Medicago truncatula: one gene and its partners. The protein of the gene in region 4 binds, or shares a complex with, the protein of the main gene of each other region. Links are inferred from orthologs where the notes say so. Each region holds a gene or a part of one and is shown on either strand. Other genes may lie near its edges.

Region 1 (7,073 bases), on a different chromosome or scaffold from region 4:
TAAGCCTATTTTTTACCATCTTTTCTACTATAGGTGCTACCCCAACTCTCTCTCTAATGGTGTCATTTCTAATCATATCCTGTCTAGTCTTATCACTCATCCAACACAACATCCTCATCTCTGCTACGCTTAATTTTAGATAAACTTCATTGGGAAATAAAAATGTCCGCTAACATGTTCATTGACATGACATAAAATAATGTACTCGTATTTTTTTGCCTATTTTCCACTTATTATCGGTGGATATCATTTTGCATAACAAATTATCGGTGGATATCATTTTGCATAACAAATATATGCAGAAACTGCACAAACAACATGGACAAGAAGCAGCTATTCAGCGTTTTTATATTTGCTTTGGATTAAGGAGCATTAAGTACTGGACCTGAGAAGAATACACGCGGTAAAATAAGTAATCTGCAGATATGAAAATCTCAAGAATCTAAAATCTCAGAAACTGTAGTAGTTGACAGCCAAATAAAAAGCTACCAGCTGAATTGCTAGCCATGAGAACATGATAATAACAAGTAAACTACTTGACTTGACAATACAAAAGAAAACAAATGAGATATTATAATCCCATTAAATTTCTGCATGAAGTTATTAGTTAAACAATCTCCCAGTCAAAAATGTCAATCAAGAAATATATTGCATTGCATCTTTCAAATTCCTCAAGTTACTCCGTCAAGTACATAAAAAAGTAGAAATACAGCAAAGCATATGAAAATTAGGGGTAGCACGGAAAGAAACAGATCGAAAATAATGATACAATAGATCCAATTAAGGAAGCATGTGCAAAAATCAGATATACACATTCAAACAATAAAAAACGAAAAATACCGTGAAAAGGGAAAAACCTTACCACTCCGTGAAAAACAGATTCAACAAGAGAATGACAATCACCTAAAACGGGAGAAGAAATCAAGGAATTAGATCTAGATTGGAGAATATATATGAAACGAGACCAATGCCAATGGAGAAGAGTACACAAAAGCTCCCAATGAGTTTAGCAACGGCGGGAGAGAAAGATATATGTATATTTTAATGTCGGTTCAACGGGGGACGGCCCATCATTGATTGGGCCAATCCCTAACCCATTTAATCTTTGAAATTTCAGATAGAGTCAAAAAAGCCATATCACTCAAAGGACTAGATTGGGGGAGTCATGCTAGTGGCAAAACGTGATAGGTCATGAGCTAGCCAGTATGGACAGTTGTATCTAACATTTATTTTTGGTCCGTAAACGAAGTGGCAAATACCACATAAAACTCACACACACAACTGCAAGGCCTTACGGACATTGTATCTAACATTTTACTCGCAGTAATTATTTGGCCAAGTCACTGATTTACGGAGCGAACACGCCAATCTCATCTAGTCTAGATAATGTAAAACAAATATCAAAAAGTAGAAAATATGCAAGGAGAAAAAAATATAATAAAAAAAACCACTAATACCTAATCCAAAATGACAGTTGGCATTGACCAAGTTCAATAACAATTTAACAACAAATTCAAATCCAATTCCAAATGATACATGGAAAATAAGACAATGTAAGGAGCAAATTAATAGTAAACAAAGTCCTTTTGAATCCATTGCACAATGATCTTCCTACTCATTCAAAACATATCAAGGTTTCCCAAATAGGTTTTAGAAATCTTTTTCACTATCGGGATTCAAAGGGAAAAAATCACTTCCAGCTTCCATTCCTATTATATTCTCAGAACTGATTGGATATTAGACCTCTTCCACATAAGGCATTGATGAACTCATGATTATCATAAGATTCTCTTAATATTCCTTCTTACATAAGTGCTTTTAGAAAGGTTTATTGAAAGAAACTGACTCTAAGTGGTTGTTTGAAATCAAAGTAGCCTCTTCTAAACATGCAGTGAAACTATAGCCATTAATTGTAGCATCTTGCCAAAACACGCGGTGAAACTGAAATGACTGCCGAAGCAAACACTTAATAAGGGCTTATTTGAATTTGCTTATTTGAGCTTATCTACTAGCATAGGCATTTGTGAGACTGTTTGGGAGAGCTTATGACATGCTCGTAAGCTATTTTAAGCTTATTTCCATAAAATCTCCAATATAGCTGAATAAAAAAGCTTATATCTTATACAAAAAACAATTTGACTTTATTTATTTTGTGTAACAGAAATAAGCCTTGTTTGATAAACAACTTAATTGTCATCTTATAGCATAAGTGCTTATCATAATAAACACTCATGTATAAGCTATTTCTATAACAAAAGTTAAAATAATGTTAAACTATTTTGCGCAAACTATGTTGGAGTTTATAAACATAAGGTTTTTTCATAAGTTCACTCAAACAGTCTCACAAACATTATGCTAGTATATAAGCTAAAATAAGCCAATCAAAACAGGCAGATAGTTTATTCATAAGCACTTATATGATAAATGCTTATGCTATAAGAAGCTGCAAATTCAAATTAAGTGTTTTAACCAAACACAACCCATGTCTTTTAGCATCTAACTTACAAGAAAAAAAAAGTTTTTCCACCAAATTGGCATTTGATCAAACACTTAGCGTGCAACCAAAGCTGAGAAAATGAAAATACTCTCTCATAAATTCAGTGACAAGAAAAACGAAATCTCAAATGAAATGTGCAAATGATGAACAATTTCGAAATAGTAACCATAATTTAAGAGAAGAAAATGAAAATATAAATATTCATTTCAGAATATATGAATAAGGAAACAATGAGATTGTTACAAAAATGGAAACTTTACAATACAATACAATACAATATCGTAAGTGAGAAGAAAAAAAACAACTCTGAAAGTGAAACATGAAAATGAAAGCCTGGAAAAGTGAGAAGCTTACGGTGGCCGGCGAGAAAGAGTGGGTGAGCTGGTGAGGGATGACAGTTGAGGACTGAGTGAGACCAAATTAGTTATTAGGGTTTCATATGGTCTCAAATTTTCTTATGTAAGTGATAAATTGTTCTTCTATGGTAATTCAATATGATTTTCCCTTCTTCAATTTAAGTGGTACTTTCATGTCATATAAAAACATGTGAGTTTTGGATTTGAATTCAATTATCTCGATTTAAATTCAATAATTTACGTTTTAAGTGAAACTTTCATGTCAATTATCTTCAACTTTCACTTCTTTAATAGAAGTGTTTCTTATTTTGCTAAAATCACTTGCGTTTTACTAAATTATTTATGTTTAATTTTTTTTTTTGTTTTAGTGCTATAAAGTCAAATTTAGAGCTTTAAAATTAAAGTTAAATTGTTTGGTAATTTTTTTTCTCCCTCCTTGGTGCATAAGGATTGGTATAACCCTTCAAAAGCTTAGGTTTTTGCTTCGCTTATCGTTTTTTTTTTTTGTCTTTTTTCTTAACTCTTATAATTTTTCCAAGTTTTGATATTTTTACACCTAGATCAATCTTTATGACATTCTCTTTTTATTTTAACTTTACTTTGAATATTTTTCTCCACCATCAAGGTTTTTTAACCTTGGATCCAAAAGCTATTGATTCTCCCGGCGTATTTTTTGCTACTATTATAATCTCATGTGACATATTGTCTCAGATATCATTTGTGTTTTCTTGTGGTTGCCCGAAACTTCCCTCTAAGACCATCTCCAATGGGAGGGTCTTAACCTTTTATGATCTAGTGAGTGCCTATTAGATACTCCATTGGGGAGGAACTTTTCGAGGTCTTATAAAACCCGGGTCACACTTAAGACCCTCTTTCTTAAGTGGGACCCACACCTTTTTAATATTAAAAAATTTATATGTAATAATATAAAGTTATTGATAGTTGATTAGTAGGTCTCGTTTAAGAAATTTATGCGAGATGTTAGGTTGAAGGGATTGAGTTCTTATGTGAATGGATGGAGGAGATGTTTATGTACATATATTTAAAGGTGAATCCAATGATTTGAAACCCTTATAAAATTTCTATTTTGATTTTGAATTAACCTTAGCTAATAGCTAATGAAGTTCTAATTTCATTTTTGTAGCAACAAGAGAGGTAAAACATTTGCAAGGTGTGATGTATAGTAATTAAAAGAAAAATGCTCACAACAAGTTTATTCCAGTCATGAAATATGAAGATCTAAACTGTTAACTTTGCAAAAGATTGATCCTTAGACCACTTTTTCAAAATTAGATACCACTATATACTATCATTCAATTTTAATTCTCACACAATTCTCATATCAATAATCTTGAAAAAATGTCACGATATACTTTAAAAAAAAAAAAAAAACACTCTTTCAAACATACACGATAATATTCAATAACCACCAACTCATATGTTTGTCATTGTTTCTAATATAATGAAATTTACTTCGAGCGAGATCAAACTCACTTAAATTTCAATTAATCGATAACATTGAACATATCTTAAAAGAGCGTGTTTTTTTTTTGACGGATAAAAAAGCGTGTTAGAGATTGTATTTCTCACACTAATTAATTATCATTACTATGTACTTGATAATATCTTGGCACAGAGGGTGCACCCCCTTGATTTAAAACTAATAAAGTCATCAATTGTCAACTAGATTTTAATGTTCCTCTTAGGTCAACAACTATGACACTTGTATTGTCTCTGCTACCCTTTGCCAATGCTATCTCAGATAATAGTGTTGCAGCTTCAGCAGCACGATTACTTTGATTCTCATTCCCATGACAAACTCTCCTAATTTGGCCTTTGAAACATTTTCTTACAACTTGGCATGCAATTTCACTAGACATTACACCCCACAAGCCATCACTTGCTAGTATGAGAAATTCATCTTCATTGGTTCGTTTTGTCACGGTGACTTCAGGTTTTGATATTACATATGGTCGAAGATATTGATCTCCTGCATGCATCAAATTTCGTAGTTAGAACATATCAAATTGGTTCTTAACAATAATCATTAGTTTACTAATTCTATTTGACAAAATATATATGTAATCGATTTTATCAGTTATTTATAAATGATTTAATCGAGCTTAGCTAAAAACTCGTGCTTCATGACTTGTTAAAAATTAATAAATGTTTAGGTTGACTACAATAAAACTAAGCTTAAAACTAAAGCTTGACATGCATATTTCTTAACAACCATTATATTTAAACACTTTTAATTTTTCAACACTTATTCAACACCTCATTTTTTCTCCGTCTCACTTCTTATCACATCACATACTTATCACATTTAATCACAACGCATACTCTATTTCTATCTCTCTCATGGGTGTTAAAGGATATAGGTCTACAAACACAATTTTCCAAAAGTAAGTAAAAATATCAAGCTCAATTTATTGATGGATTTTGAACTTCTTTTTTTTGCCTCATAACCTAAAAGTTAGAACATTCTGTAATAAGTTTACAATATATAGCTCAACTACTGCTCAACTAATTTACACCCAAACTTTGATTAATTGATTATGTGGGATTTACAGTTTTCCATGTAATTTGATAGTAGAAGGATTCCTTAACCTCTTTGAAATCAACGTGTTTATACAACAAATATTCTTGTATTATTGAAAATTTCCACGTGTTTGACCATACACACAAGTATTAAGAACAGGTCAAGATTCATATGTAATAATTTATTTCCGTCCAATAATCTTCAAAGATTTAAATAATGAGACACTTTCCCAATAGTATTAAGATTGAAAATCATATACGCAAAACATGTGGCAAACTTGTTTTGTATAAAAAAGAATCACATTCTATTATAGATTCTTCTTTATCAGAGAATTTAAGCAATGTGTCATCTTGATTGGTTAAAAATTTAAAAGCAATCACGCATATGATCAAACTTTACTTTTTTTTTTGTCAAAGTTACTCTGCTATTTTAAAAATGGCTGATCAAAGAAAATACATGCATATAACAAAGTAGAAAATATAAATAATCTAAAAAAAAATGGATTAACCAACATTATCATAAGCTAGAAATCTAAGTATTTGTGAAGTTAAAATTTCATACAAACCTATAGATCGTGAAGTTGCAAGAACACCAAGAACACGGTGGCCATTCCAGTTTATGACTCTTCCACCAGCTTCTTCTATTCTCATCAACTCATCAGGCCTGTTTGGCTGTGTACAAACAAGGAAATCAATATTACCTTCATTCATTATCATACAATAGTTTTCTTTGGAATGAAAAAATTTATCTACTTTAAATCATCTAAATCTAAATATAGTACAAGATCTCAAATCTCAATAATAATCAAAATCCAAATAATTGACTCTAGAATCTAGATGCAACAATGTATAGATATTGCAATTTGCTGCAATCTCGGTGTGACTATATATGTTTTTCATACACATCAGTCAGAAATCAAGCACATGATGAGAGCATCCAATTATCTATCTAGTTGTATACTGCCTAGAAATTAGTACTATCAAATATATTAAGAAAATCAAATATAGTACTACAGTACCTTATGATCAGAAGACAACTCCACGACTTCACCACCTCGTCCCAAAACGGCTCTAGAATCACCACAATTCGCAACAACAATCTCCTCTTTAACAACAACCGCCACAACAGCCGTGGATCCCACGGTCCTAACCGTGGCATCACCCGCCACCTCCCTATCCATTTTACCAAAACACCCTTCCATCACCCTCTCCCAATCCCATTCCCTATCCTCCCAAAACATCTCAACCTCCTCCGCCACAATCCTATACAACCTCTCTCTACACGACACCGCCACCTGAGCACCACCGTGACCATCATAAACACCGAAGAAATCACACTTCTCTCCATCCTTCATCGTAAAACCTATCTCCATACTCACCGCATCCTCCATTTCCTTCCTACAGCCTATGGTTGACACCGAACCATACGATAGAGGTCGCTGTTGTTGTTGATAATGCTTCACCTGCAAATAATAAACAATGAAATAATATGAGACGCACTGTCCTCAAGGATTTTCCGTGTATAATAAGCTAACAACAACAACAGTGTACCTCTCCGTTTTGCTTGGACAGCTGATCATCTTCCTCAGATGATGATGAAGTTGCTAACGACAACGATATCTCAACAGATTCATGAATCTCTCGTCGCGCATTCTCCGTTTTCAGATCACCGTCATCGG
Region 2 (7,053 bases), on a different chromosome or scaffold from region 4:
TATAAATAGATATAATCATCTTGAATCCTAATAATATCAATAATTTGCATTTACACAAAGTTTCCATTGTAGAAAACACTATAAGACCAAGACAAGACAGAAATATAGGGAAAAAGAATAAAAAGAAGAATATAAAATTTACCCGAGTAAATCATTTACTTTCCCACAAGAGACACAGTAGAAGCCTCCATCATGTTTGGGGCGTTTGCCATCTTTGCCAATTCCAGAACCATCATGTTTTAAAGCACACTCAAGGTGGCATGACAAGCCGCAAGAAACACCAGGAAATGGAGCTTCAGAGCTGCATATTAACCACAGGCTAGGGTCTTTGTTGTCGTCATATTGATGACAAATACAACATGAACACCTTTTGCAAAATGCATCTCCTTGATTTAGCGTAGCCTTGCATGCTGAGTTTTTGCAGTATGAGGTATTATGATTCACATCGCCACTGTTATTGACAAAAACATTGTTTTCAGGAACAGCTAACCGAGATGGATTCTCAATTTTTCTCTGCCTTTTAGCAGGTTTCTGACCATTTTCAGGAAAAGAATGTGGTTCAGGGTCGGTGGCAATATCATGGCCACTTGATTTCTTTTCGGAAACAATTTTCAGAAGATTTTCGATAATTTTCACCTTTGTCAGCCCAGTATACTTCCTTTCTTTTCCCATCTCAGCACACAATATTTGTAAAATCTCTTGACGGCTCCATGACTGTAGTATCTCAGATGCACCATCATGAGACGATTTAGATATTTCATATACAAGCTCTCTTTTTTCCTCCATACTCAATTTACTAAATTTAGAAGGATCAAGAGCAACTGCTAAGATCAAGGAAAAAGAAAACAAATATTAGCATATTATTATATAGATGAGAGCATTCCAATTTTAAAACTTCCAAGTGCTGAAGGAAACAAGACTATTTCAACAAAGACTTCTGCTACAATTTGTACTCATGCTAGACATGTCATCATCAAGAAATTATACGCAGAAATAATGGATTTTATAGAAGAAACTATAATGCATTTTTTAATGAACTAACATATTGATTGCATATAATATAACCAAGAAAACAAGAACAAGAAACATAACATATAAAACTGTAACTGGTTGAACTTGCATCACAAGGACATCCCAACCACTTGATGCAGAATGGAATCTAGGAATATTGGATAGCTCAGTGTAAACGCAATGGACTAATCAAGTCAGCCAATTAGGTAATTGGACTTAACTTCCTTTGACTTTTATAAGCACCTTCATGGACCTGCTTATTTAGTTGTTGGCACATCGCATATCAAATGATAAGCCTACTTCAATCAAGACTCCTTTTTTAATCAAAATGCATTAATAAAATATTGAACTGCCCGGCCCCTAAATGCAGTTCACACCAAAAGCTCGGGAATAAAAGGCTATATATAGCATAGATTTTAAGCCAAAAAAGGCAGAATCAGCAAAAGATAAATAAAATAAATTACAATTAAATCAAATAAAATAGTGAAACACCTCTCTCATTAAAGTTCATTCTTTTTTCTGAAGGAAAAAAAATCAAAGCTAATCAGAACCCAACATTCAGGAAGGACACGCATGGAAAACAAGGTTTTACACCGTTGTCGTGTTGTGATCCTTGTATTGCAGAAAATTGCGGTTAGATACAACTGATGCACCCAGAATTAATGCAATTGTGGACGCATAGACATAAAAAACCTTGACGTGTCATGCCTCGAAAAACCATGAGAAAGATGACATGGCAAATAAATCAATCCACAATTAAATCACGCGAGATATTAAAGCATAACACAGATAACGAATCCAACCCTTGTCGTGTAGCAGCCACATTTAACGCAATTTTGGACACGTAGATATAAAAAAAACCTTGACATGTCAAGCCTCAGAAAAACTCGAGAAGATGCCACAACAAATAAATTAAACAACAAAGAAAATCGGTTTCTTGTCATAAAAAATAAATTGGTAAAAAAGCATAATGTTAAATCACACGAAATAGTAAAGCATAACACGGATAACAAATCCAATCCTTGTCGTGTTGAGATCATTTTTATTGCGGAAAAGAGCAGTTAAATACATCAACCTCAAGTAACGCAATTGCGGACATGTAACGGAAAATTGCAGTTAAATACAAGTCATGCAAAATTACCGCAATATCATCGGAAGCGTTGACATGCAAAATCTTGATGATGAAGAGACCACAAAAAGTAAATCAATCCACATAGAAATCAGATATGTCACAAATCACAATGCTAAATCATGATATCATATGGACCACGAAACTACAGAAAAATGAGGTACATGACCGATGGCAATGCTAAAACATGATATGATAGAGATTAATCATCGTTAAATCACATGAGATTATAAAGCACAACAGAGATTATAACGAATCTAATCAATCATTGAGATAATTGAATCACCTCAGTTTGAATATAACGAAGAAAGTGAGATATAAGAATACATGAAAAATTGAAGAAAATTAGAGAGATAAAATAAGCAAGTGATGGAAGCGTGTGTGTTACCTTGGGAAGACGAATCGGTAGCCATAACTAAGAACGAGAATGAATGAATCACATCACATTATCAACAAAATTCATCGAACCTAAACAAAAGTTAAATAAATAAATCCAATCCACGTCATGAATCGCCGTATAAGGAAAGAAAATTAAGAGTGATTGATAGAGAAAGATTGAAATGACAATTACCTAAAAAAAAGATGCTTTCAATTGTTGAAGAAGAAGAAGAAGAAGAAAACGGAATCACTCAGTAACTGAAAAAAATGGTGACGCGCGCACACTCTCTCTCTCTCTCTCTCCTCTGTATGTGATAGAGGGAGATTCGAGGAGAAAGTTGTTGATGTACTTACTTTGCTTCTAGTCTAGAAAGAGAAAGCGTTTTAGATAGGTGGAAGGAGAGAGAGAGAGAGCGCTTTAATATCTCTCACAAATTTTTCGGCTCAATTTTTGTGACGCTTTCAACATCTACAATGTATCTAAAACTAAACGATGATATGAACATTTCTTCATTGAATAAATCATGATGCGGCAAAATAGATAGCAAATAAAAGGTTGAAATAGCTTAAATAAGATGTAAAAAAAATTATTTTGAAGGAAATGTGTTTGAGTTGCATAGATATTAATATTATATGACAATTTAGGAACCACTTGAGGAGGAAGGCTAATAATACTCTCTTTTGAGGCTCACTATTTTATTGAGTAAAATCAATATGTCCAATTACTTTATGTCGGTTCCATTTCCAATGTATATGCCCCACGTTAGTTTAAACCAATAAAATATAGCTATCATTTCACTTAAGATTGGTTATGGAATCAAATTTAGATTTTTCGCAAACTTGTGATAAGTGATTCTTTAGATAAATTGACAAATACAACTAAATTTACGACACAAGTGCAATGTGTTATGTTTAAACATGAGTAAACGTGTTTCAATTTAACAATATTGGTGTGCGTTTGATTTGTTAAAAAATGAAGGACAAGACATAATAACTTCAGCTGTTTAGTGTTTGATTTGCAAAACTGTTTCAGAGACAGGATAAACTGGAGGCAAGGAACATGACAAAAACTGAAATTTTTGTCCCTCACCAAACCACAGCACAACTTTTTTGTCCCACGTACAAGTTGTCTAAAACATCAAAATAGTATTTCGTCCCTCAAAAATCATACAAAACAAAAAATTATTCAATACCATAAAAATTTGTTCTGTGTTGTTATGCCTTATGTTGTGATGTTCTGTTTTGTACTGATATGTTCTATCCAGTACTTACTCTTTTGCAAACCAAACACACACCTTACAACTTAGGAGGACAAATTAATCTTTCACTTAATTTTGACTCTTTACTATAGATGAATTAACTTTTCTCTGTCTAAAAATATCAAAAATCAATTTTAGAAAAAAAAATAAACTTCTAGTCACTTGTCTTAATTTTAAACAACGATCTTGTCTTTTATATTTATTTATTGCATTTTTTTTATTTTAGTCTTTTGTATATGAATTTTCAACAAAGAGAACCACTGATTTAAACACCGAAAGCTCGTATCAAAATCAAATATTAAATCTTAAAATTCATATACAAAATTAATTCCCTCAAAAAATTCATATACAAAATTAGTTAAAAGGACAAAGATAATGTGAAAAAATGTGAAGAAGGAAATCTTTACGTAAACGTTTAGATCTAAAATAATGGCGTTATTGCCGATTTATTGTTGCGATGCTCACTGACTTTCAATTCAACATTTTTTATAGTCGAATATTTCGGTAAGAAATTAGGATAGTATAATATATTAAATTACTAAAATAGCCCTTTATTCTTTTCATTATCTACTGGCACATACACCATATCATATCAGGTCCATTCAATAACCTGTATCATAAATCCATACATCACAAAAATCTGAGTTAGTGTGGCTGTGTGTGTGTGGTAATGTCTTTTGCATGATAAGATTTCATTCAGGTGAATGAAGTCTTTTTCTCGTAATTAATATATATATATATATTATTTTTTAAAATAAGCTAAAATGGAATTTGTTAATATAGCAATTAATCTTAACCGGCACAAGGAATGTTAGGCTAGGAGTCTTACAGTAACAATAAACAAAGGATGATGGAAACCCCCAATGGAAAATCCATACACCCGTGAAAATAAATAAAAATCCAAAAACCTATAGGAAACACCTCCTAACAAAGGGCTATCTCCGAAATCAATAAATAGAAACACCAAAACAAAGCTAACATCACGATCAACAAAACAACATAAACAAAATCCTCAAGCATCGTCACAACTGCCACAAAAACAACTTCTACCACACCCACATTCCGCTGCTCGCACACAACCCCTGAACATCAACTTAAAAACCTACACCACAACCAACAACCTTTGAAAACAGCCGGGAAAAAAAACCCCAAACACCACCATGAGCTCTCCTAAGCACCTTCATCCAAAACACACCTCGTAAACAACCGCAAAAGCTAACCAAAAATCCTTGTACCATCACCAAAAACCACCACAAACATAACCACAAAAATCAACACCATTACCACCACCTTCACCAAAACTACCATTGACCACCACAAAAATCACCATTAACCCTCACCTAAAAGCAACACCAGCCACCACGCGCAGCACACCTAAAACCACCACAAGCATCACCACCAAAAACCACCACGAGCCCCCGCCACAAAAGACCCAAAATCAACACCACCAAGAAAACCATCATGAAGTACCACAAACCAATACAACCAAAGATCCATCGAAACCATATAAGTTCATAAGCGAATCTAGATATGATTCATCACCACCATCGTGACCGATCTGTCACCACCTATGTTGCGAGCAAACATAACCTCCACCACAACCAAGAGAGAAAACAAATCAAATAGTTTGAGACCCACGAAAACCAAACAACCACAGACAAGCATCCAACGACACACCACAAAACCCACCAACGTCTCAGCCAAACGAAACAAATAAAAAACATCAAAAATACAAACCAACCTTTACGACGATAGAGAGCAACCGCACGTCGGAAAGGTACGGTGGTGCGGAGGACAGTGACCCTCGTCGCACCACCATCCATTTGATCTACATGATGACGGGGGCGGATTTAAAATTTGTGTGAGGAAGAAAGGAGTACGGCGGTTTTACGTTTAGAAAAAATGGAATACAACGGCTATCTCTTATGTGTGTTTTGTAAAAAAGTACGACGGCTATTACTATAACTCCATTCATTTCTTTTCTTTTTTTATAAATCTCTTATCTTCTAAAATTTTGTTCGTATTCACACTTTTATCAAAATTTTGCAATAGAATATATATTTTTTTAACAAATTTTGCAATGTATATTATTACAAAAAAAAAAAAAAAACTTAATTTCATTTGTCCATTTATGATCGATTGGTGGCTAACGATTGGATAATAGAGTCTGTTAAAACTTTGTTGATATGGCCCTATGGCAGGGACACACGCATGTAAGATTGGAATCGACTGTGGGGACAACATGGTCAATTTAGATAGCTGCCCCACTAACTAATATTGCATGTAAGACATTGAGTTTTTTTTTATATCTTATAGTTTTGACAAAAACAATAAATTATGGTCTTTGCATATACGAATCGATGCTTTCCCATCTCATGCCACTCACTGCGTCAAAAAAATCTCATGCCACTCATTTCCTACACATTTGTTGGCTTAGCTTGTATTGCACACACGACATAGTATAATAATAAGATTTGTTGACTTAGCTTCTTAAAAAAAAAAAAAAATTATTAATAATTTACGCTTGCTTTCTTCAACTCTTAAAAAAGGTTAAGATATATATATAATCCAATAAAAAAATGTAAATATTTGATTATCTAACATATTTTATGCTATGCAGTTTTCTCCAACAACGATGATATTAATCTCTCTGTGTTTATTGTTAGGTCATGAGAGGAGGTTGGAACTTGAGAGACCATCCATATTAGACCCAGAACAATCATACAAATGAGTTGGACACCAAATATTTAACTAAAATCTTAGGGCAATAAGTTTATGAGTCACCACGTTAATAAATAAAGTGTTCAACTTTCATTTTTATAAGCAATATGCAGAACTTCCAACTCACGTTCTTTACACAACAATCTTCCCTCAAGTGTGAGTCCATCAATTCATTAAATGTTGTGTAGCGAGTGTAAGCCAGAAGTTACACATTGCTTAGAAAAGTGGAGGTTAAACATTTTATAAGTAGAAAGATCGGTAAATCCAATGTCTCAGGGTTTTGGAGTTAAAGTATAATGTACACCTTATTTGTTACTCTTAACTAAATGCGAATATTCTCATACTCATATCGTGTCTCAATATTATGCCTCAAACAAAAGCTTTTTAACCCACACATACTTGCATTTATACTTGTACCACTTGTTATTGCACCAACGTGACACGTCAACTGAACACCTTCCTAGGAAGACTTTCTACACCAAGAGGCGATCAAACCTTTGTTGAACCTGATACTATTGCTGGATCACGAGGAGAAGCGAGTTATGCACGTTAATT
Region 3 (7,997 bases), on a different chromosome or scaffold from region 4:
CAGTAAACATTTCAGGGAAACAAATAAAAAATTCACTAAAAAGTCCAGATATGGTGATGCTTTCATTAAGCAATACCTGCTAAGATCCCACACCATCAGTCTCCTACCAAGACAACAAGAAGCCAAGACAGTCTCATTCTTTGGATTCCAGCCAACCTGGAAAACCTCCTCCCTGTTAACCCGAAAACAACAATCCAGATTAATATCTATTAAATATAATTACATCTAGAGTAAATATAGAAACAACTAAGGAGAATGTTACTTATGGCAATCAAAGGTGTGAAGAACATTGCCGATCTTGCGCAGATCCCACAGTTTCACTGTTTTGTCAGTAGAACCAGTAGCAACTATCCATTCATTGAAGGGATTGAAAGCCAAGCAGTTAACCTAACAAGATCCAATGTCATTATTATATAAAGAAAAGTGTTATTAGAAGTGATATATATTGAGAGTAATATCAGCATTGTGAAAACTCTAGAACACTGCTAAAAGATAAAGTCGAATTAGAGCACAACGGAGAAGACATTATAAGAAGCCAACAGATTGAAAATCTGAGTAAAGACAGGAAATTATATCAGCAAGGAAAATATGAGAAGCCAGATATGTGAAATATGGCCACTGTACAACTGCAGAGTGGAGTCTCGGCCAGTTCTCAAATATTGACCGTGATTAAAAATTTATGCATTATCCGTGTTTAGTTTTCAATTATCACCCACCCCGAATGAAGTCTTTCAACACAACGTTGAACCTTTAGGTCTAATATCACTATGTTTTGATGGGTTGGGTCAAACATTCTCAAAAACTCATAAATTTCAAAAGATATAATGAAGATTGAACAGTAATAAATTGATAATTTTAGAATAATCACAAAATATAAGTCCATGTTTCAAATTCCCTCTTACAACAGCACATCATAATTCATATCTAAACAACAATAACCAATATTTTTCTATCCAACTTATTAATCTCAAGATTTTTCTTCAATAGTTTTTTATGCCTTTTATAGGCCTTCTTCTACCTCTAGTAATTCTCCTCCATCTGATCTATTGTCCTTACGATGGAATCCACATGTCTTCTTTCTACATGCCCAAACCACCTAAGCCTAGTTTCCACTATCTTTTGTACTATAGGTGCTTCCCCAGCTCTCTCTCAAATGTTGTCATTTCCAATCCTATCTTGTCTAGTGTACCACACATCCAACACAACATCCCTATCTCCGCCACGCTTAATTTATTTTCATATTGGTTCTTAGAGTCGTCCAATGAAATTTTCCCATCAACTTGAGCAGTACTTTCGCATCACATAAAATACTTGAGGCCCTATTCCATTTCAACCACCCAGCTTGAATGGTTTGTGTTTAACTTCCCTGTATCTGTCCACTTAACATGATATCCCCATGCCATGTTCATTTTGACGGATTCACCAATCCCTCACACTAATTTCCACAAAATAGTTGCTACTTCAAGCCACAAACAATTATCTAGATTAAATCTATTTTTACACAAATCAGAGAATATGCAACAAAAACTCACATCAAACAAATGCATATTCCCACAAAACCAAACCCTGAACTAATTATACTTCCTTGAAAACCCAAATGTAAAAGAGCTTATTATCCAAAACAAACTCCTAGGCCTTCCTACATTTGCATCACATAAAGCATTGGAGGCCCTGCTCCATTTCAACCACCCAGTTCGAATGGTGCATGTTATACTTCGCCGTATCTTTCCACCTAGCACGTTATCCCCAGGCCATGCTCATTTTGACAGATTCACCAATCCCTCGCACTAATTTCCACAAAATAGGTTGCTACTTTCAAGCCAAAAACAATTGTCCTAGATTAAATATATTTTAACACAAATCAAAGAATATGCAACAAAAATTCACAACAAACAAACGCATATTCTCACAAAACTAAACCCTAAACTAATTATACTTCCTTGAAAAAACCAAATGTAAAAGAGCTTATAATCAAAACAAACTCATATATTTAAATAGATTAAGCAACACACCTCGCTAGAATGAGCAATGCAAGACTGAACAGGCTTAGTAACAGACGGTGTCCTTAGATCCCATACAAGCAAATACTGATCATCCCCAACAGAACCAAACAAATACTCATGCCTCAAATGCCAAGCCACGTCTTCCACAACACCTTCATGAACCTAAACAAACAATAACACAAAATCATCAACAACAAACCAAGCAACAAAAAACAACAAAATTAAGTAGAAAACCCAATAAGAATACCTTAAAAATCTGATGAGCATCAAGAGACTTATTCTTAGGAGTACCATTAATATCCCACAAACAAATCTGAGCATCATCAGAACCACTAAGCAAATGTCCTTGTTTAAACTTACTCCAAGACAAACCATACCCTTCAGTATTATGACCTCTTAACCTCAAATCAGGGTTACAACTTCCATCAATTGGAGGCTTAGAAGGATGTTTACTATAATCAAAAACATAAACCTCAGCACTAACCGTCTTAGTAGCAATCACAAAACTATTCTGAGGCATATACCTCGCTCTATTAACCTCACCATCATGATTAATCTGTTGAATTATCTGAACCTTCCCATTGGCACAACCAAACCCTCCAACTTCAGGACGATCGTCATCGTAATGACGGGCGTCGTTTTCGGAGTCGTCGAGAGGGAGTTGAACTTGAGCGAGCATGAGATAATTGGGTTCATTTTCGGAAGTGTGGGTCCCGAGGATGAGTTTTTGGACGGAGTAGTCTTTGCCGGAGGGTTCAGTGCGATCTGGAAGCCATTCGACGGTGAGAGATGGCCATTCGAGAGCGTGAGTGATGACGAGATCGTAGAGGAAGGGACTGTTTTTCTTCCAGATTTTGTATTCTTCGTTGATTATTCGTTCTTCTATTTCGCCTCTCATTTCTTCGTCTTCTTTCCCCATCCACTTTCAAAACCCTAACTCTCAAATGTGATGTTGTTTTTTCGAGGGAGAAATATAAACACTCACTAACCCCTTCTCTATCCCACTACTTCCCTCACTTCTTCACTTACCCCTTTGCCGTATTTTTATTAATTAAATTGGATTATCATTTAATAAAAATAATAGAAAATTAAATTGAATTTGTATATATTTTTTTTGATGAAGAGGAAATTAAAAGACAAGAAAACCAAACTAGTCAATCCGCTGCCTAAATACCCCAGAGGTATCCGCAAGCATGATGATATCCAATTGAGATGGAGGAGAAGTCCACATCTTCAAGGAGTCAGTATTAGTTGCACCAAATTTAATCAACCAGTCAGCACATTCGTTCCCTTCTCTCAAAGTATGACTAAATGAGACCACCCATGAAAGAGAAGAATTGAATTTGTATATATTGATGCTTAGAAAAAAAAAATGGATACACAAATTTACAAATTTTTTGTGAATAAAAATTTAGGTGAGTTGATCTCTGGGGACTTACGAGAGTTAGGATAGGTCTTAAGGATTAATGAACATTATCATTCATCAGATATTTGGTTCTCACTCTAAAATTAAAAGTTCAACTCACGACCTTATGGAAAAATCAACTTCTTACGAGTCAACTTTTATTGACAAATTTTTTGTTACATGAAAAGAAAAAATTGTTTCAAATGTTTCTTAGTAAGTGGTAAAAGGTATTGAGTGACAATGATGTGACGTGACGTTCATTTAAAGATGTTAGGATAAATCTACATGAGCACGTACCCAAATAAAATTTATCTGAGCACACATTCACAATTGAAAATAATTAAATGAAAAAATAATTAATAAATGTGACCATATTATTGTTTCTTAATATTTTTATTTATGAATGTGTGCTTGAATAATTTTATTTGGGTTTGTGTCTAAGTAACACTTCCACGAAGATGTTATCCATACATTTAATTTAATGTCATTGTTATACCTTCTAATTTTATTTTCTGATAAACCAATCTAAACTTGTGTACCTCATTTGGTCACTATTATAAGTAGAAATTCATCTTTTAGATTGATTCAATATGCAATGTATGTGATCTATATAATAACATAAATCATTTATTAGATAAATTTAAAATGTGGATTTTTGCTAATAAAAATGAGGGTAAATACCTCTTTTCGTCCATGTAATATTAGTGAATTCCGATTTTAATCCCTGTAAAAAAAAGATTTAGATTTTGTCCCTGTAATTTCATATTCTTCCACTTTTGGTCCCTCATTCCACCACGTCAGCAGAATCTGCATACATGGCATGTAAAATGAGGGACCAAAAGTGGAGGAATATGAAATTACAGAGACCAAAAGTGGGAGGAATCTGAAATTACAGGGACGCAATTGATGCAGATTTTGTTGACGTGATGAAAGGAGGGACCAAAAGTGGAAGAATATGAAATTACAGGGACAAAATCTAAATCTTTTTATTTACAGGGACTAAAACCAGAATTCGCTAATATTACAGGGACGAAAAAAGGTATTTATCCTAATAATGACTAGAGCGTGTATGTGTATGCCTTACGACTTACACATTAAGAAACATGGTTTCCTATTTGTAAAATTCATCGACTAAGATCGTCCACAACGGTAGGTGCTTCGCTTATTTAACACAACATTAAATAGCCCCCATTGTAGTGTACACCCTGCAGACACTATTATTTAATTTTAAAAATTTGTACTTTAAGAACATTGACATGTTATGAGGAACATTGACATGCTACAAGGTTGGTTTTAATCACTCTTACTACATAGTCATGAATTGGTGATATGTTGGAACTTCACATTACCTTTTATATTTTCCTAACTATTCATTTACATGTATTTTTTAAAATACCAAATACACGCATTTCTCTACAAGGTTGGCCAACTAATGTTTTTATGATAATGTGAAGAGGAATCTTTTAAAGGATACCATATGTTGGTATTGTACTGTTTGATCTTAAAAGTTGGTACTTTCATAAAATTGGCATGCTATAAGGTTAGTTTTAATCACTCGTACTGCATAGTCATGTATTTGTGATATGTTGACATTTCACATTACCTTTTATATTTTTCAAACAATTCCTATATTTTTATTTTATAGAATACCATACACACAACTTTCTCCTTTAAAAGATTTTCTATGAAAGATTTAAAATGTGCCGTCCTTTCAAAGCGAACAAGAGATATGTGAATATTTTTATAAATATTAGTTGAATTTCAGCTTGTGTGAATATCTTTGTTATTACATGTTATGTTATGTATGGTTTTGGATATGTTGATCACATGTGAGGAAACAATGTTTGGTAGTTACTATTGTTTCGAAAAATGTAACTAAGAATTAATATTGTTTGATTGAATTCAAGGACCAATCACAAATATAGTCACTAATTGAAGAATGACATATATATTTACCTTTATTTTTGGTGCAATAAGACAATCAAATTAGTATACAAACATGAATTGTTTGATCACCTTTCATATTTTATTTATCTATGATTTTACTCTATTTGAGATGTTTTTATTCGTCGTTTGCAGGTTGAACTCAAATATCTCTTTCATTTTTTATTTATATATGCTTATATCTAATAACTTCTCATCAAAAGGTATGAACTCAAATATCTCTTTCATTTTGTTTTTTGAATGGCAAATATCTTCTTTATTGTTGTTGATTTTTTATTCAATTAATTTAGTAATTATTTGAGTAAATAGACAATTACCTCTCTGAAATTGTAAGTTTCGTCAATTATCCTCTGACATTAACAAAACTTCAATTACCCCCCTGAAATTGCACAACGTTAATCAATTTACCCCTTCCGTCAAATTCTTCTGTTAGTCAACTTGACGTTTTGCAAATACCCCCTGAAGTTTTGCACTTATGTGCAAAATGCCCTCGAACTTGAAAATTTATATTTTTTTTCTTATCCTTGACTCAAAAAAGATATTAAGGTGTGTAATGCCCCTGTTCTTTTTAATGTAAAATTTGACTTTTCTTTATACTTTTAGTTACTTAACTGATCGGTTAATAAGACACTTATGTTTGTTGTATTAAGATTATCAAGTTTTATTTACCTTTAAAAAAAACTTTTTTCCCAAACTTTTTCTTCAGGGGTCTTTTCCCATACTTGTGTAACAAACAAAAAAACTTTAAACTTAATATCTCAACAGGTTTTTACTTACCTTTTTTTAAAAGTTTTGTCTATCTTTTAAGATAAATGCTTGTGTACTTATTTAAGTATTTTATTTGTTTATGTTGTTCTGTAGGTTATGGAAAGACAGTAAGCGAATGTAAGTCACTAGAACAAACACTTCTTTCGGAAAGTTCAATGTGGTGAGAATAACAATCTCCCTCTACCCTTAAAGAAAAATAAAGCAAAAATATGCTTCCTCTACCCTTAAAGAAAAATAAAGCAAAAATATGCTTATATTAGGGTAACACACTCTATTTAAAATGTTGAGGAGCTATATCGCAGGATCAATCATTCAAGAAATTTCAAATTCGATTATCGAGCGAAATAACGCTTAGTCACATTATACATACCTCATGGTCGAACCCCCAAGGAAACACACTATTGAATCTGAACAATTATTATGGTACTGAAACTGAAAATGTTGAAAACAGTAACCAATTAATCGGACTCGAGTGGTTAATGAGCTATACAGTAGGATCAATTGTTCAAGAAAATTCAAATTCGTTTCTCGAGTGAAATCATTCTTAGTTAGATTATACATATTTTATGGCCGAACTCACCACATTTCCATTGAAACTAGAACACATTGACGTTCATAATAATACCATAATATTGTAACTCAGAAACAGAGTGTGACTATGGAGGTATGTGAGTAATGACAAATATTTTTAATAGAGGAATACCTAGAACTTGGGAAGTTGACTCTAATGTAGTTGGTCTTGCAAAAAAAGACATATGCTCAATCACAGTAACATCTGCAAAGACATAAACACGATGTCTTCCTTTAGCTACAACAATGTTGTGAGGGAAATTTGTTAAGATATTGGAATTCTTATAATATGATGTTCTAGTAGTTTTTGAAAATTGCTCATATATTTTTATACTCTTATCAATAATCAAAACATGTTTGAATAACGCTCTCTTGACATCGTGCCAATATGAAAGATATTTTGATGATATGTATATTTATTGACGAAAATATCCATATCACGAGGGACGATGCAAATTATTGGAACTCACTCAGGTACTATCTTGAGACTACTGAAATATTGACCAAGTTATCAAATTTAATAAGTCAAACACAAAAAAGTAATTCCTTAATGTTTTATATGAGTGGTCATGGCGTTGAAGTTGGCGAAAGATTCTTCGGACCTACTGATATTTTACTTGGTAAGTTCTATTCATATTGGTTATTAAAGAATATTAGTCTTAAAGGAATCCGAATATTATATCGCACTTGCTAACCATGACTAAGCTGATTTGACCCGCAAACTTTCATCTCCTCCTCCATCATCAATTTCCTTTTCTCCTCCATTATTCTATCATGTAGCGCTCCCTTACCGAATTGTCCTCCTCCACCGTAAAAAAGTGCCCACATAAACATTAAGAAAGAAAGAATAATTTTGTTGGAGCATAAAGATGATAAGGAAATTAAATCAACCATAATAAATAGAGAATAATCACTAGTTTCCCTTAACCTAAATCGTATATGCACCCACTTTTTATATATTTAAAGGTTAAATATGATTTTAGTCACTATAAATATACAGCTTAATCCATTAAATTATAAAATATATTCATTGTTGCCCTCTTTTTATCAAGTTTAATTAAAAGATGCTTATGTGGATGTTTGTTGTTAAGTTTATAGGTCATATTGTTATGTTGTATATTTATGTTATCAGTTAGAGTATATTATAATTAATTTTTATTTAAAAGTCGGTATTTTTAGTAATGAAATCTAATGTTTTCAATCCTTATAAGTCATCTTAACTTGTTCTCATTGTTATTTTCAATACTTATATTTCTTGTTAGTCATTCAATAAATCCGTTGCTAAAATTTTAGACGACTACTTCAAA
Region 4 (7,322 bases):
TGAGTATATAAAATACTGAAATTCAATAGATTTCCATGAAAAACAGTTTTTGAAGTTTTCTCTTAGCTTCTAACAAAGAAAAAAGAGACAAGACAACAACCTCCCAAATTATCAAATTATGAATGAAAAAAGCAATTACTGAAGTTCAAATCACAGCATATACCTTAAAGCTCGCACACTGCATCAAGCAAAATGGACAAGAAAAGTCTTCAGTCACTACATTTGGAAAGAAACAGAAATGTATCAGTACGGTCAAAATTGTTTTTTTTTTTTTTTTAATAAGAAACCATCACAAAAAAAGAGAATAACATGACAGACCACCCAAAAAAAAAGCATTAAAAAATGCCAGCTCAAAAGAGTAACGTTTACAAAATCATATCTGTCCAAATTAAAGGCAGATGAAGTTCTGCACTTGAAAACTATCAGCCATAAGCATCTATGGAAGGAAGTCGGAATCGAAAATAAAAACATTACCAAATTGTTTACTAGTTTGATTGCTCTTAAAAATTGTACTTATTATAGGAAGGTAGTGGTAAGATGTAATGTTGAACATAGCTGGTGACAATATGATAATATGCTGTACCTTCAGTCTTTCGAAGCGCATTGTAACAGTCCCTATAGTTGAAAACCACAATTCCTGCTCGCAACCTTCAAAACAGAAAGCCATCAAACAATTGCCACCCAATAAGGCAAACAATAAATACAATCAACAAGAAACGCAAGGATAAAGCATAGCAAAACAATTTCTTTCTTAATTGTTATTCAGGCAAGAATGCAAAAATCATCAGCTGATGAAGAATAGACATCATGGTATGCTAAAGAATTACTTGGACAGTATTTGAGACTAGGGACAAAATGCAACTTTTAGTCTAGAGTTTCGTAATTAAAATAAAATAGCCAAATAATTTACTGTTTACTTCTTGTCCTACTGTTAACATCTTTCTTCAATGAGACATTTACTTCTTTTCGGCATCTAGACTCAAAACTTCACCTTACCAGTTACAACCCCTAATGAAGCATTGCATATTACATAAGATAGATATCTGAAAATGGGTAAATCTTTATTCGATATGCAAAGAGGCTAGTTTCTCTTTTCAACTAATAAATTGTGAACTATTTAATGAACAAATCTTAAGTACGGCGCCTAAGGTCCTATTACTGTTGTTCGCCAATAAATTACGGACACGTGTACTGTGATTTCCCTCTAACAAGGGGAACCTACACCTCCCGTGAATGGTGAATCGAAATTTCACATTTCGTGCCGGAATCGAAAAACAGAAACGGTGTCATTTTCTCGCAGAGTCCCAAATTACCACCACCCTCCCCCTCCCCCTCCCCCCCCCCCCCCCCAAATCAACTTCCCAGACTGCCACTCAGATCGAAGTCTTCACTTCAGCAAGTCGTCCTCTATCGTACGTTTGCTGGTCTATAGTCAAAGAAATGGTGGGGAACAGAGAGAGTTTTCACACACTTCCTAGTTCTGCAGCATCACATTTACTTTTTCTTTTCCATCAAGGGTTGGTATTCATTGCAAGTCAGCCAAGTCTAAATTAAAATTTTCATACAATGGTACAAGGAAACGAAGCAGTGATGATTCTGCAAATACAACTTGCGGGGGTTTTTTTTTTTTTTTAAAAGATAATACATGACACGTATACTTAGTTTATTGGCGAGAACATAAGGAACTGTAATTAAGTTTTGTCGGTATTTAAATAGTTTTCGTTTGTAGCATTTATTTCTCTTACTGTCGGATTCTCAATCCTCACAAATCAAATTCCTTTTTTTCTGTATCGATTCTCCTATTACCAAAAAAAGTAGATAGATGATTACTATTCATGTATCCCCAAATAATTAATTTCTATTAGTATAACTCTTAAAAATCATGTTGAATCAACAATTTAAGAGTAAGGAAATGGTATAAAGAGTAGTGTACTTCAACAAATTGAATGATGAAACTAAAAACTAGATGAAATAACTATAATACATGTATATAACAATTCAAAGGAATATTTACCTCCTTTTTTGCTTTGCTTTTATTTTATAGCGCAAACATCTCTTAAGAAAAGTAGGCTGCAAGAGAAATGAATTCCAAATGGTATCAATCAACATATCTTTTATATTAAAAAAAACATAAAATTTTGACATGTATGCTAATTTCAATTTTTAAGAGCAACTTTCAAATGTAGAATCGCATAAAAACCACTTCACATGTTTAATATCAACCAACACCGCTCGGCTCAGTGGAGTAACCTGCCCTAGACTCGGGGAAACGACCTAGTACTCCCAGGTTCGATTCCCGCAGAGTTCAAAAATGTGTTGGCCAGACTTTACTTGGCCCCCCGGGCAGGCAGATATTAATCTTACGTTTTCTGCATGGGGACACGCCCCAACGATATAAAAAAAAAAAAAAAAAAAAAAAAAGTTTAAATATCAAAAAAATCAGTCAACATCTCATCTCGGCATTAAGTTCAAATCATAGCACAATTTCTAATCCCTTAATCATAAAATTATAAATTACCAATATTTAAACAACCAAAACACAGAAAAAATAGCAAAAAAACAATAAATGAATATTATGGAGCTTAATTAAAAGTTGAAACAATCATATACTGATTAGGAAGTAATAGTAATATTATACATTGTGAAGAGAACGACGATAGAGAATATTGTAGAATTCAACAGGTTTGCAATAAATCAAAAGACTTTCATCAGCTGTAATTTCTTCTTCACCGGAATTATGCACCGGTGAATTTTGCCGGCACATGTTGAATTCTTCAACCTACAAACAAACACAAAATCAACTTCAATTAAACATACATTGTTACACGCAATTGAAGTAATGAGCTGAAACACAATTAGGTTAAACGAATATTGCAGCTGAAAACAAAGAAATTCATGAGAGAGGAAGACTTACAGAGAAGAGAGAAAATGCGAAGAAGTTCTTGGTCGATCTGGCGGAGAAGGGAAGAGCATGGCACCGTCAACGTAGTTCATTACACACTGTATTGGGCCCGATAATAATGGGCCCATCTTAATATAAGAGGAAAAGATGAGGATTGTTATTTGCACCCCTCTAATTTACTTCTAACGCACCTGTATAAGAAGGGGAAAAAAGCTCATGGGCTTTGAGCCCAAGCCCACCCGCAAAAAACATACCTATTTATAGGTATGTTAAGTTTTCCTTTCCTTTAACTCTCGATTTTTTTCACTAAACGGTTTTTTTATTTTATCGATGCTGGCTTCTTCTTCTTCTAGTTGTTGTATGCGAATTGCAAATTTATACTCTGTTAAATAACAAGTTTCAATTTAAATTTTGAAATATTTTAGGGGTTAAGTAAGTGTTATTTTCTTTTTTGAAGGAGGGTTAAATAAGTTTGTGATTTTAAAAAATATAAAGAATTTTGATTTTAGTTGCAAAAACTAAAAACTTTCTTTTTTGTTGTCCCTAATAGTTGGTTTATGTTCATGTCAGTTTTTGTCCAAGTTATATCCATGCATTATGTTTAATCTCTTCTCTTCTCATTGTTTAACTATACACTGCTAAATAGTAGTAACATATAGTAAAAGATTAATTTACAATATATAAAACTCTGCTATAATTAATTAAAAATATATCAGTTTAAAATATGCATCATGCATGTGCTTGCATATACTTGAGCAACACATTCACTCAAATGTTTTGCATAGATCCCATTGAGTTATTTTCATCGTACAAGAGAGTTAATGATTTTATTATGTAAGTTTCTATTTTAGTTTTTGTCTTACACTTTCGAAAAATGTGGCATGTTTCATATGAATTCATCTTTTGGTTGAGCAAGATTCTAAAACTCTTGCAGCATATAGAAAATCCAAACTATGCAAGTGTATATTATTATTCTTTAAAATTCCAATCCCTCTGAAAAAGTATAAGTGATTATCGTTAGAGCATTGTAGTTTCAGATTCTATACATAGTATACTTTTCATATTATTGATGATTTAACTAATGTGATGTTTGTTTGGGCCGATATGTTATGCAGTGATTGAAGCAGGACAAGTTTAATTTGATTAATTGATAATGGGAAGATATAAATCCATAAAGAAGTACAGTTTCTCTGAGTCAAACTCTAAGTCACATGAGGATCATTCCATTAAGAATATGAAGCAAAATTCCTATAGTGGTAAGAGTTGTAAAGTGATTTCAAAGTTGTTAATCCCTGAAGACTTGGTGTTTGATATCCTTAGTTTTCTCCCTGTTAAATGTCTGCTTAACTCTGCAAGGTATGTTTGCAAATCTTGGGCTACTACTATTCGCAGCTCCCTGTTTGCCGAAGCGTGCCTACATCGTGCACATTCAAAACCTGGTCTATATGTTGAAAATTGCAAGCATCAAAATAATTATTATTTCTTGGATATTAAAGATGATGTGAATAGTCTATTTGAATTTGAAAGGTCTAACATGGGAACACCTCAAAAAATGGGAAACATTGTCGATACTTGTGATGGAATATTGCTACTTTGTCATGGTCCTAGATTTTCATCGTGAACCCCATCCTCAAGTGTTGGCTCAAAATTCCTTCTTTACCGATTTCACTGAAACGATCGGAACTTAAGTGTCAAGTAACTATAGCACGTGTTCCTCACTCTATTGAATTCAAGCTGTTTTTTTGTAGATATCCTAGTGGTTTCGGGTGCTTATTGGTATGTATTCTATGTGCTTAGAATTGGAGTAGATAGCTCATGGAAAGAGATAGCTTGAAAAGAAGCTCCTCGTGAATGGTTTTTTTGTTGGAAACTACTTTATAAATTACTCGCTCCATTCCTTTTCTTTTGATGTTTTAGAACTTTAACTATATTCCAAAACTTTTGATGTTTTAGTGAATTTGTTATTGTTTTCTTAAGTTTACCCTTGTTGGAAAACACAATAAACTATTAAAGTAGTTGTGACCTTTGGTTTATCACATGTGAATTTAATGATAAATAAGGACATTTAAGTAAAAAATACACAAATATTTATATACTTTAATTACTCCTTAAAACTTGTGTCAAGAACTAAAACATCAAAAGAAAAGGAATGGAGTATAATGGAGACAATTATCTTTACTGGATAACTATAGAGGGAATAACAATGATGGATGTTGAGAAGGAAAATATTGTAGGACAGTATTTACTTCCACTTCCCCCTGTGTTGATGGGTCTTAATTCAGATGCAATATTTTTAAGTTTAATTGCATTTTTGGCCCCCTATCTTTTCAAAAGTTGCGATTTTGGACCCCTAACTAATTAAAATACAAAACAGCCCCCTATGTATTGGATCTTTGACAGTTTTGGCCCCCAAGGCCACTTTTGACTTAGTCTTCGCTGACGTGGCACACACATCCCTTAAGTGAGGTGTCACATGTCGACCATTGTGGGTGCCACGTCAGCGAAGACTAAGTCAAAAGTGGCCTTGGGGGCCAAAACTGACAAAGATCCAATACATATGAGGTTGTTTTGTATTTTAACTAGTTAGGGGACCAAAATCACAACTTTTGGAAAGATAGGGGGCCAAAAGTGCAATTAAGCCATATTTTTAGGGATGGGAAATCACCTTTCTTGCATTGTGAATAATGATGCATTTTGTAGAACATTTCAAATCTATGTTTTGGATTTTGAGTTAGGAAAATGGTCTCTTTATCATGAGATGGGACCTTTTGATTTTCCGACTGCTTGCGGCCATGAGATTCATATTCTGTGTGTGGTGTTTTGTTTCTGGATCAACCATCAAATTATCCTTCGAGTATCTCTATTGAAAAGAAGAAATACATCTGTAACAAGTAGGGAAACCATGCATTTTAGTTACAATGTCAAGATCAAACGACTAACAAAGATTGACAACATTGTTGTGGGTGATATTAAGGTATGGCTTCACACTAACAGTCTCGTCTCATTGCCAAGTACTCCACTATAGTTGTGGTTGGTTATAGCCAGCCAAACATAAGTATCAAACTTGGAGTTGGAAACACATGATGCGTTTTTCCTTAGTTAGTCTAATTATTATTATTGTTTAGCTTTGCTTATTTTGTTGAATGATGACTTACTTAGTCTTCGACAAATCTTGTACTCTCTTTTGCTTTTCTTATCAACGAAAGAGAAACATATAATTTATAAGGTGCCAGATTGTTATTTGCATCAGGTTATTTTGGTAGTCTTGATCTGAGTTTGGAATTTCTTTTTGATATTTTTATTTATTTATCTGAAGTACACAAGTGTTATATTCACCATCACTCTTGCTTGTAAGTTGCAATGGTAGACATCTTTAAAATTTAGAATAAGGAACTATCTATGAACGTGATTTTACTAACAGCTTTCCAACTTATCACCCAAACCCAATTGCATCCAAATATCCTTTCTTAACTCCTTTACCTTAATCTTATCCCACATACTGTCAAAAATGCTATTAAGAAAGTTGTGAATCACACATGCATGTCACTGAAGCACAGGTCAAAAATTACTTAATGCAGATGTTGTTCTATTAACAATCTTATCCAAGAGCTATTCTACTTAATGTCTGAATTCATGTAGTATAGTATCCAATAAAACATGAAGGAATTCTCTAGATTATTTGTTTGCATCTCTTATTTTTTTGAATTATTTTTTCAACAAAAAAAAAATGGAAAATGAAACAGAGATTCGAGCACATTTGGTTTCAGCCAGAATCATTAATTTCATGAGAAGTAGAGAATACATTATTGGAAGTCATATTCTGATATATATACATGACATACATCAAGTCATCCATATATGTGTTTGGATGAGTGGTGAATTTAACAACATCACGATTGCACCATGAGTTTGTTAAAGATACGATGTATAGAAGTATAGTTTTTGCTAGAATCACAATGAGTGCTGTGATTATGTTAGTCTCATGTGTAGAGATTCAAACAATCCACATGGTTTTAGCATTATATATTTGATCAAACACAATTTTGAAGAACCCAATCAAGTTTTGCTTAAGTATCTTGATTCAAGAAATTACAACATACTCAAGGACGACACACTCAATAATACGAGAAAACACAAAGGCAACAAAAGTTAAAATAATTAGAAGAAAGTTACACATAAAAGACACTCTAGTGTACTAAAGTTCACTTTTTACACAAGATGTTGTTTCAAGTACTCACGTGGCAACAACTTAATTACCTTGCACCAAGACTCCTAAAATCACGACTTATAGAAAGAAAAAAAAAAATTAAAATCATGATTTGAATATGTCCTTGTTTTTCTCCTTAATTATAAGTAATGTGGTTCAGTTGGCCACAAAAGCTAAGTTTGTGGGAAAACTCGTGGATTCAATCCACACAAA

Evidence for each region.
Region 1: polycomb group protein EMBRYONIC FLOWER 2 (region 4) and polycomb group protein FIE1 share a complex: the UniProt entries of both Arabidopsis thaliana proteins name them as parts of the plant homeodomain / polycomb repressive complex. The link is inferred for Medicago truncatula from reciprocal best matches to the Arabidopsis thaliana genes VRN2 and FIE.
Region 2: polycomb group protein EMBRYONIC FLOWER 2 (region 4) and VIN3-like protein 2 share a complex: the UniProt entries of both Arabidopsis thaliana proteins name them as parts of the plant homeodomain / polycomb repressive complex. The link is inferred for Medicago truncatula from reciprocal best matches to the Arabidopsis thaliana genes VRN2 and VEL1.
Region 3: polycomb group protein EMBRYONIC FLOWER 2 (region 4) and WD-40 repeat-containing protein MSI1 share a complex: the UniProt entries of both Arabidopsis thaliana proteins name them as parts of the plant homeodomain / polycomb repressive complex. The link is inferred for Medicago truncatula from reciprocal best matches to the Arabidopsis thaliana genes VRN2 and MSI1.

Annotation. Positions count from the first base shown.
Region 1 is NC_053042.1:9,567,029-9,574,101, reverse strand, and holds the start of polycomb group protein FIE1, read right to left. Parts: upstream 3,025-7,073; 5' UTR 2,852-3,024; intron 904-2,851; 5' UTR 863-903; intron 481-862; exon of another isoform or gene 386-480; intron 1-385. Other genes in the region: protein phosphatase 2C 51, read right to left, coding at 4,533-4,843, 5,961-6,066, 6,414-6,857, 6,946-7,073. UniProt on the Arabidopsis thaliana protein: Polycomb group (PcG) protein. PcG proteins act by forming multiprotein complexes, which are required to maintain the transcriptionally repressive state of homeotic genes throughout development.
Region 2 is NC_053045.1:61,341,076-61,348,128, forward strand, and holds the start of VIN3-like protein 2, read right to left. Parts: upstream 3,004-7,053; 5' UTR 2,718-3,003; exon of another isoform or gene 2,712-2,717; intron 2,614-2,711; 5' UTR 2,554-2,613; coding exon 2,529-2,553; intron 2,523-2,528; exon of another isoform or gene 2,427-2,522; intron 2,354-2,426; exon of another isoform or gene 1,261-2,353; coding exon of another isoform or gene 1,233-1,260; intron 825-1,232; coding exon 143-824; intron 1-142. UniProt on the Arabidopsis thaliana protein: Maybe involved in both the vernalization and photoperiod pathways by regulating gene expression. Binds preferentially to dimethylated histone H3 'Lys-9' (H3K9me2).
Region 3 is NC_053045.1:46,472,559-46,480,555, forward strand, and holds the start of WD-40 repeat-containing protein MSI1, read right to left. Parts: upstream 3,017-7,997; 5' UTR 2,923-3,016; coding exon 2,251-2,922; intron 2,166-2,250; coding exon 2,013-2,165; intron 388-2,012; coding exon 263-387; intron 173-262; coding exon 77-172; intron 1-76. UniProt on the Arabidopsis thaliana protein: Core histone-binding subunit that may target chromatin assembly factors, chromatin remodeling factors and histone deacetylases to their histone substrates in a manner that is regulated by nucleosomal DNA.
Region 4 is NC_053046.1:4,146,249-4,153,570, forward strand, and holds the start of polycomb group protein EMBRYONIC FLOWER 2, read right to left. Parts: upstream 3,026-7,322; 5' UTR 2,915-3,025; intron 2,780-2,914; 5' UTR 2,765-2,779; coding exon 2,639-2,764; intron 2,071-2,638; coding exon 2,015-2,070; intron 649-2,014; coding exon 584-648; intron 217-583; coding exon 164-216; intron 1-163. UniProt on the Arabidopsis thaliana protein: Polycomb group (PcG) protein. Plays a central role in vernalization by maintaining repressed the homeotic gene FLC, a floral repressor, after a cold treatment.